Cricetulus griseus: one gene and its partners. The protein of the gene in region 2 interacts with the protein of the main gene of each other region in a pairwise test. Links are inferred from orthologs where the notes say so. Each region holds a gene or a part of one and is shown on either strand. Other genes may lie near its edges.

Region 1 (3,227 bases), on a different chromosome or scaffold from region 2:
TGAGAAAAAAGGTTAATATGTTCTGCTTCACAAAGGAAGTAGGACCTTCTCTGTTTATCGTCTGGGATGCTTTGACAGCTGATGAACCTGTGGCAAAGCTGCTGGGAGGTGCCTGGTCCATGCTGAGGAAATGAGGGTCTAACATGGCTCAGTCTCAGAGCTCTCAAAAGTAAACAGAACTCCCGAAAAGTGCTACAAGAGTGTTTCTTCCCTTCTTTTCGGAGTGCATGATATCATGCTGTGAAGATTTTTACACATTTATACCTTTGTCTACACAATTCAAACTGGTGACTAACATAATGCTTTTCTTCTGCATCTATCAATATATTCATCACTTTGCTTGTCCGCCTCATGCATTTTCTTTTTATTTTGTGGTTTTGGTTTTGAGACAGCCTGGTTAAATAGTTCACACTGACCTTGAACAAACTGGCCTTGAATTTATGATCCTCCCACTTTTGGTACTGGAATTACACACAGTAGGCCTGGCTGTTTCATGCATTTTAAACTTGAGTTTATAATATATGGCTTAACATATCAAATTCTCTCTCTCAAATTTGCATAGGTTAAAAAGGTAGGTTTTATAAGGTTTTTATGGGACATTCTTGCATGGTATAGAAGGCACAATAGCAAAAAAAAAATTGACTATAGGCAAATGAACTAAATCTCAAAACAAGTAGCCAATAAATACATAAAAAATAGCCATCTGATAAATTCAGGTCACTACTACATTGAGATTTCCATCTCACCAAAGTCAAAGCAGCAATCACCAAGAAACAACAAAGGTCAGTAAGGTCTCTTGAAGAATGGAAGCCTTGTCCACCAGTGATGAGATTATAGATTAGTGCAGCTGCTAGGAAATCAATACATACTTTCCCCATTAAAGACTAGACCTACAATTTTATCCAGCCTCTACCCTCCCAGGCAATGTCTGGAGGAGTCAAAGTCAGCACATCAGAGAGAGATTCACCTGCCCGTGTATATTGCAGCACTATTCACAATAGCCAAGTTATGGAATCAGCCTAAGTATCAACCAAAAAATGGAAAAATAAAGTGCATACACACAATTCAGTGTTACTCAGCCACAAAGAAAAATAAATTGTAACATTTGCAGAAGAATGAACAAAACTTGGAAGTATCATGCTAAGTGAAGCAGACACCGTACATTTTTCTACAGGCGAAGGGGGAAATCTAAATAAAAACTCTGAAAGTGGGAGGGGCTCTTTGAAAAGAGCGGGAGACCATCAGGGTGAGTATGGCGAGTGTTCAAAGCACATGCTCCTAACGTAAGTGTTGTAACTTTATATAAGTAATGCACTAATTAAAGAGAAATCGTTTAAAAAGACTGTAAAGAGTCACCTCTGCATATCTATATACACATACAGATTGGACCCAAAGCTCATAAAACATTTACCAGTAAGTGATTAGATAATTTATCGTGTATGCATTTGCCTAATAGAATGTCAAAATTTGATGTATTAACAAAATTCCATAGTGGAAAATTCTTTAAAAACAGAAAACTCATGCAAATCAAACAAGAAGGAATTACAATAGTGGAAGCCATGGGGAGATGGTGATGACATGGGTGTGTCTTGGCTTTTCCTATATTTTTGTATACTTCCTGTATTTCTGCCACTTCCTTTAATGTAATTATTACAGAATGAGCAGCTTCTCACACGCCACCTTTGTCTTACAGTCAACAGCTTTGAGGAGAATCTGTCAGGCGTGTCTTCCCGTTCATCACAGTAACAGTTCACTAATATTGTACTTCCTGAAAACCTTTTACAAAGTGAGTCAGTCTGTAAGGAATATCCTGAGGAACCTTGTAAATCTTAAAAATCATGGAAACTAACCTATTGTTTTGTATTGTGAGGTACACGGGGAGAATAATTATGGTTGAATCGGTTTTTAAAAGTCATTTATGTTAGGGGCTGGAGAGATAGCTCAGAGGTTAAGAGCACTGGTTGCTCTTCCAGAGGTCCTGAGTTCAATTCCCAGCAACCACATGGTGGCTCACAACCATCTATAATGAGATCTGGTGCCCTCTTCTGGCCTGCAGGCATGAAGGCAGGAAGAACATTGTATACATAATAAATAAATAAATCTTTAAAAAAAAAGTCATTTATGTTACTAATTTCTGAACGATCTTTTTCATTACCTAAGTGAGTGATTTCTCAGACACAAAATCTCTGTAGATGCCAACTGAAAGTGGCATTTCTGTCATTCTCCCCAGGTAGACCAAAGCCATAACAAGCTGAGTAACAACAATTGATTATGCTCTGACAGCTCCTATAGACCTGAGCCCCATCCCGGGGTGGGGGTGGGGGGGGGGGGTGGGGGGTGGATATGACTGAATTTTTCATGGTCATCCCAACTTCCCAGCAGAGTTTAATAAAGAACTTAACAACAACAACAACAACAACAACAACAAAAACCGCACCATTTTAGCCTTCTCTTTTGAGGAACACAAAGTATGGCATTTTCTTGACAAATTAAATGTAAAACTTTTAACTGGGAGTTCTTATTTCAATAATTAAAGTAAGTTCAAACCTTAATCATATTTCGTGAGGACTTCAGTACTTGTGAACCCAATAAAATGTCCCATGGGATCTGAGTGCCTGGACTGCAGACATAACCAGGCCTACCACCGTGACCCCTACCTAAACACTTCACAGTCCCAATGGCATGTGCAGACGCTGCTCTTGGTTTGTTAGTGACCAGGGCAAGCTCTCCAAAGTACTGTCCCCGAAAACACCGAGCGATTTCCACAGCACCATTCTCTTCCACTTCTGATTTACCCTGAGAAGGCAGTGAGATGAGTTACATTTAAATCTAACATCATTGAAACATCCTTGCTAATTGAGGAATTTAGGACTGATAAATGTTTACCTTTCTTTTCATAGTAATTTTCACTTCTCCAGATTCTACAATGAAAAAAGAATCTGCCAAATCTCCCTATTAAAAGAAAAAAAAAAACATAGTGAAAATGAAAATTCCATAGCTACCCTGAAATCATGCCCTTGAAGCGAACTTATAAGTTCCAGTTTGTAAGTGAAGTCATACTGAAGAGGCTATTTCATCTTCCACATTCCGAGGTTACAACTGATAATTATGTGGTAACATTTTTATTTTCAAAAACATTTGAAATACACATTCTCTACCAGAAAATAACCTGGGCTAGGAATCTTCCCCGAATGTTGTGCTGAGCCATATACATAAGAAGGTCAGCA
Region 2 (3,660 bases):
GTTTTCATTCTGGCAGGCAACTTTAGCAAGTATTGATGCTGAGCTTCAGAAACTGAAGGAAATGACCAACCACCAGAAGAAACGAGCAGCTGAAATGATGGCATCATTACTAAAAGACCTTGCAGAAATAGGAATTGCTGTGGGAAATAATGATGTGAAGGTAACGTGGACACTAATATTACATGTAATTTTCCGTATACAACTCACCCTTAGGCTTACTGTTCTGTTGTGTATACACATTATTGTGCAGGTGCATATGTTTTCAGGTGTGTGTGAAGGTGAGAGATCAGTCGTAGATATTGTTTCTCAGCACCCACTCACTTTGGTTGGGGTTTTCTTTTTCTTTGCTTCTTTCCTTGTTTTGTTTGTTTGTTTGTTTGTTTGTTGTTGTTTTTTAAACAAGTCTCTCTCTCAATGGGACCTGGGACTTCCTACAGGGACCCCTTCCTCCCAAGCATTGGGAATACAATTATGTGCCCACTATACCTGGCTGTGTTTTGTTTTGAATTTTGATATTTTTAATGTGGATTTAAAAAGAAAAAAATCCTCAGGCTTTTGTGTTTTACTGACTACACTGTATCTCCAGCCCTACTATTTGGTTTTTGACAAAGTTCTTTTCATACCTGTTATCCTCATAACCATGTGTGGTAGGTAGTGTTAACTATATTATTAGATTTTTTTTATTTATATATGTGTGAGTGTATATCGTGTGTGTACATGTGTCTCTGAAGGGCAGAAGAGAGTCTTATATCCCTTGAAGCTGGAGTTAACAGCTGTTGTGATGCCCCATCTAGGTGCTGGCAACCCAGTTCAGCTCATCTGGAAGAGCAGCAACAAAAACATTGAGACATCTTCCAGCCCCTTAATTTTGATGAGAAAAGAGGGAGTAAACCAGGGCACAGAAATAGAATATTCACAATGCAACCTCATTGAGCCTTATTGGATTCTTCCCTCAAATGTGTAAAGATTTTCCATTAAAAATCACCTTTCTGGCCTGGTGGTGGTGGCTTAGTGGGCAAGGGTACTTACCACATAATCCTGATGGCCTGAATTTGATCCCTGGAACCCATGGTGGAAGGGGAGAGCTCAGTTGTCTAGCTTCCTTACCACAGAGATTAAAAGTGACCACCACACCTGCTGAGCTTTTACCTGGGTTCTGTGGCTGAAAATCTAAGTCCTCATACTTGACAGCATGCATTTTACCCTAGGAGCTATCTATCTGGCTATACACATGATGTTTTGGAAAAAGCACCTCATTGACTTGCCTAGACTGAATGGCTAACAAACCTAATTTGGGAAAATAGACATTGAACAATTTTGGCTTTAACTCCCCCCCCCCTTTTTGAGGGCGGTGGTGGTATTTGGTGTTTTATTTTGAGACAGGTTCTCACTTGGTTCAGTTTGTAAATAGGCTGTTCTTGAGCTTACAGAGATCTTACTGCCTCTGCCTCCCAAGTACTGGGATTAAAGGTGTTTGCTACCATGTGGCCCTAGCTTTAACTTACTTCATGTTTTTCTCACAGCAACCAGAGGGAACTGGTATGATAGATGAAGAGTTCACTGTTGCAAGGCTCTACATTAGCAAAATGAAATCAGAAGTAAAAACCATGGTGAAACGCTGCAAACAACTAGAAAGCACACAGACTGAGAGCAACAAAAAAATGGAAGAAAATGAGAAGGAGTTAGCAGCATGCCAGCTTCGTATCTCCCAAGTATGTTTTACATAATGGCTTTGGGGGGGTTCTAAAAAATTAATGTGTAAATTTTATTATAAAGGTTTTCAGAATCATAAGCTTCTGTTTATTTTCTTTCAGTAACAAAAGGCCTTGTTTTCTTAGTGTAGTTCTTAGTGTAGCTGAATGATTTAACATGTACATCCTAAGTATGGAAATTGGCCAAAAACATATGACTGATGACAAAATGGATTAGCAAAACTGCAGGGACCAGTGTTCTGTCTTTGGCTGCTGAGTAATGGTAGATACTACTTGAGGAACTGTTCAAGGAGGGTCAGTAATAGCAATGTCTCAGGTTGCAGGTGATATAAGCTGTATAGATAATTGTCTAATCTTCATATTTTAACTGCACAGTGTATGTGAGATATTTCCCACTTCATATCAGTATTTTTTTCCCCAAAGCACGAAGCCAAAATTAAGTCACTGACTGAATACCTTCAAAATGTAGAACAAAAGAAGAGACAGCTGGAGGAATCTGTTGATTCTCTTGGTGAGGAACTAGTCCAACTTCGAGCACAAGGTATTGGCTCCTGATTGCTATGTCCATACTCTTCCTTACTTTTATATAGTTGTTGTACACATACTTAAACTGAAAGAAAATGGTAAGAGTATAAAAAATTTGGAATAGTAAATAAATTATCCATCGTGGCTTTGAAATATTTTCATAAGGAGTATCTGGCCTGCAAATACATACACACACAGATGAACACATTCATGTGAACATGTGTGGCACACACACACACCTGTTGAGAAAAAAGAAAAATTGAGTATAAAAATTGAGTATAAATAGCAATTCAAGGGATTTCCCACAAAGCTCTTGTATATATGTAAATCCTAACATAAATCCTAACACTTAGAAACTATGTCATTTCCTTTGTGTGATATCAGTACAGTGGTGTTAATGAAGTATCCTAGTGTAATTGAACTTGGAGAGTTTGGCCAAGTTCCTTTTTTGTTGTTGTTGTTTTTTTTGTTTTTCAAAACAGGGTTTCTCTGTGTAGCTCTGGCTGTCCTGGTACTCACTTTGTAGACCAGGCTGGTCTCAAACTCACAGAAATTCACATGCTTCTGCCTCCAGAATGCTGGGATTAAATGCATGTGCCACCACCGCCAGCTTGGCCAAGTTCTTAGAAAACATATTTGCTCTCTGGTTTCTATTAGGAATCTTGAGGCTCACTTTGGTCCTCTTTTTTTTTTCCCTCTCTCACTCTCTTGTACGCAAACAGAAAAAGTCCATGAAATGGAAAAGGAGCACTTAAACAAGGTTCAGACTGCAAATGAAGTTAAGGCAAGTTTGATGCTCCAGTTCGTCCTAATGTTTTTAATCCATCATTATTATTAATCTTAGTCTAACTTTAATATCTTTCCCCTTCCAAATTAATTTTAGCAAGCTGTTGAACAGCAGATCCAGAGTCACAGAGAAACTCACCAGAAACAAATCAGTAGTTTGAGAGATGAAGTTGAAGCAAAGGAAAAACTAATCACTGATCTCCAAGAGTAAGTGTTGTATTTTTCGCTGAGTTGGTAGAAACTAATTCAAAAAGGTTGACTCTTCAAACAAGAGAGGATGATAAGATACTAATAGATAAACCCATTCTCACTAGAATCTTGTTTTCAGTGAAATTAGAATTTTTATCATATTTTTAGTAAAACTTCCCAAGTTCCAGATCAGTTTTGAAAATATATTTTTAGACCTTTTCATCAGAATATTTTGTAAAATAGGGGAAAGAGAGCAAGGAGCTCCAGTTTGAACTTGTTAGTGTAGGTGATTACTAGCTTCTAAGATGTTTGAGAAAGGCATCTCCAACTATGGGGATGTTGTTTTATTTTTAAAAGTCATTATCTTTTATCTAGAAGCCATTTCTTCTCTTCTCATGTTTCTTATCTTCACATACATAGACTATAAGATAGAGAAACCTGGTAATTT
Region 3 (2,637 bases), on a different chromosome or scaffold from region 2:
CAACCATCTATATTGAGATCTGTTGCCCTCTTCTGGCACGCAGGCATACGTGCAGGCAGAACACTGTATACAACTGCATACATAATAAAGCTTTTTTAAAAACTTAGTTTTAGCTCTCCCTCTCCTCTCTCTCTCCCTCTCCTCTCCCTCTCTCCCTCTCTCTAGAGCTAGAGCTACAGCTAGAGCTAGAGTTACAAAGGCAGCTGTGAGTTGCCCAGTGTGGGTGCTGGGAACTGAGCTCAGGTTCTTTGGAAAGACAATGTGTGTTCTTAACCACTGAGCCAATCTCTCCAGTCCTCTTTTTTTTTTAAAAAATAAATCTTTTAAAAAGCTTTTCTTTTTTAATTTTTATGTGTATGAGTGTTTTGTCTGCATATTGCATACTTATGCCTGATGCCCTCAGAAGCCAGAGAGGGTACTGGGTCTCCTGAAACTGAACTTTTAAATGGTTATGAGTAGATACCATGTAGATACTGAGAATTGACCCCAGGTCTCTGGAAGAGCAGCCAGTGTTTTTAACTGCTGAGCCATCTATCCAGCCTCCATCTAACTTTGTGGCTCACAACCATCTGCAATGAGATCTGGGGCCCTCTTCTGGCCTGCAGGAACACATGCAGACAGAACACTGTATATATAATAAAATAATTTAAAGAAAAACCTTATAGTCATTTTTAGAGAAAGCTGATATGTGATGTGTCCATGGTGTGCATTTGTCAATATCTTGGGATCTTTTCTGATAATTAGATCTTAACTTGAATTTAATGTATGGCTTTGAGCATCTGAAGAATATGAACTGGTCCCTAAAATAGCAAACTTGACACACTTTTGAAAATTTTATTTACTTATTTATTTATTGTTTTTTCAAGACAGGGTTTCTCTATGGCTTTGGAGGCTGTCCTGGAACTAGTTCTTGTAGACCAGGCTGGCCTCGAACTCACAGAGATCCGCCTGCCTCTGCCTCCCGAGTGCTGGGATTAAAGGCGTGCGCCACCAATGAAATGCCCAGCTGAAAACTTATTTTAATCACTTCTTAAATCTCTATACAGATCCATCAGGCATGCAAACTAATCTGCAGGAAATGCAAACGTCACGTGACTGACCTCACAGGCCAGGTGGTGCAGGAAGGAACCAGGCGCTACAGACTGTGTAACGAGTGCCTTGCTGAAGCTGGCATCGACAGCCTCCCTGTTGATCTGGAAGCTGAGCAACACTGCATGTCCCCCGCAGATGGAGATAAGGATTCGAGGTGGCATCTGAGTGAGGAAGAGAATAGATCCTACGTGGAGATTGTGGAGGACGGGTCTGCCGATCTGGTCATAAAACAGGTTGAAGATAGTGAGGAAGAAGAGGAGAAGGAAATCAAACCCAACATTAGGTAGCCTGAAGTGCGACTCCTCAGAGCTGGCCTGCCTGCAGTTTACATGGACGTCCTGTATCTCTCCATGGGCAGAGCCCGGTTAATGGATTTCTCCGGCTGGCTTAGAAGTGACCTGGTGTAACTTGCATGCTTTTTGAATAGGCCATTGTATCCACTCTGAACTTGGTTGCCCTGAACTATGTTGCTGCTCTGGGAAGACCTTGCTTGTATTGGCATGATGGATGATCAGTTACCCTTTCTGTTATTACACAGATGGCATTTTGTTTAAATATTGGAAAAATCTATTTAGCAAACATTTTTGAGTAAAATATTTTAAATTAATCTATCACAAAACTTTAAGACAATCTTTTCTATTATATTTTTATTGATTCATTTTGTTTTGGGGAGGAGGGGAGCCTGTGTTTGGAAGGAAGCCAGAAGAAAATCCTACCATGTGGGATGGAATTCTTGGTGGCAGGGCCCCTTACCTTCACCCACCAATAAACCTGCCTACAAAATGTTAATGTATTTTAAAAGCATGTATGTTATAATACTAAACCTCACAGGGAATCAGGCAAGACTGAATTTGGGAGTCTGGCTACCCAATTGCAGGCCCCAGCAAATGTATTAAAAATTTCAAGTCCAGGGGCTGGAGAGATGGCTCAGAGGTTAAGAGCACTGACTGCTCTTCCAGAGGTCCTGAGTTCAATTCTCAGCGACCACATGGTGGCTCACAACCATCCGTTATAAGATCTGGTGCCCTCTTCTGGTGTGCAGATATACATGGAAGCAGAATGTTGTATACATAATAAATAAAGTCTTTAAAAAAAAGAAAAGAAATCCTGAATATGTATTTATAAAAAAAATTTTTTTTCAAGTCCAGCTGGATGTTGGTGGGGCACGCCTTTAGTCCTAGCACTCGGGAGGCAGAGGCAGACGGATCTCTATGAGTTCGAGGCCAGCCTGGTCTACAGAGTGAGAGCCAGGATAGGCTCCAAAGCTACACAGAGAAACCCTATCTCGGGGGAAAAAAAAAAAAATTCAAGTCCAGGGGCTTTTAGAGATGGCTCAGCAGTTAAGAGTACTGTCTCTTTAGAGGACACATATTTGAGTCCCAGCACCCACATGGCATCTCACAACCATCTGTAGCTCCAGTTCCAGGGAGTCTTAACACCTATTTCTGATACGTGGGCATCAGGCACTCAAGTGGTGTATAAACATACATGCAGGTAAAACATAAAAGTTAAAAATTTTTTCCCCTGAACTACAAATTGACTTAT

The links.
Region 1: the proteins of Kif5b (region 2) and Prkar2b interact in binary tests that used the Homo sapiens proteins (3 or more experiments, as listed by UniProt). The two-hybrid records come from large-scale screens. The link is inferred for Cricetulus griseus from reciprocal best matches to the Homo sapiens genes KIF5B and PRKAR2B.
Region 3: the proteins of Kif5b (region 2) and Zbtb8a interact in binary tests that used the Homo sapiens proteins (3 or more experiments, as listed by UniProt). The two-hybrid records come from large-scale screens. The link is inferred for Cricetulus griseus from reciprocal best matches to the Homo sapiens genes KIF5B and ZBTB8A.

Annotation. Positions count from the first base shown.
Region 1 is NC_048598.1:169,556,882-169,560,108, forward strand, and holds part of Prkar2b (cAMP-dependent protein kinase type II-beta regulatory subunit), read right to left. Parts: intron 2,953-3,227; coding exon 2,887-2,952; intron 2,797-2,886; coding exon 2,658-2,796; intron 1-2,657. UniProt on the Homo sapiens protein: Regulatory subunit of the cAMP-dependent protein kinases involved in cAMP signaling in cells. Type II regulatory chains mediate membrane association by binding to anchoring proteins, including the MAP2 kinase.
Region 2 is NC_048596.1:208,258,276-208,261,935, forward strand, and holds part of Kif5b (kinesin-1 heavy chain), read left to right. Parts: intron 1-16; coding exon 17-160; intron 161-1,523; coding exon 1,524-1,712; intron 1,713-2,135; coding exon 2,136-2,253; intron 2,254-2,959; coding exon 2,960-3,021; intron 3,022-3,120; coding exon 3,121-3,230; intron 3,231-3,660. UniProt on the Homo sapiens protein: Microtubule-dependent motor required for normal distribution of mitochondria and lysosomes. Can induce formation of neurite-like membrane protrusions in non-neuronal cells in a ZFYVE27-dependent manner.
Region 3 is NC_048595.1:23,683,743-23,686,379, forward strand, and holds the end of Zbtb8a (zinc finger and BTB domain-containing protein 8A), read left to right. Parts: intron 1-1,046; coding exon 1,047-1,379; 3' UTR 1,380-2,121; downstream 2,122-2,637. UniProt on the Homo sapiens protein: May be involved in transcriptional regulation.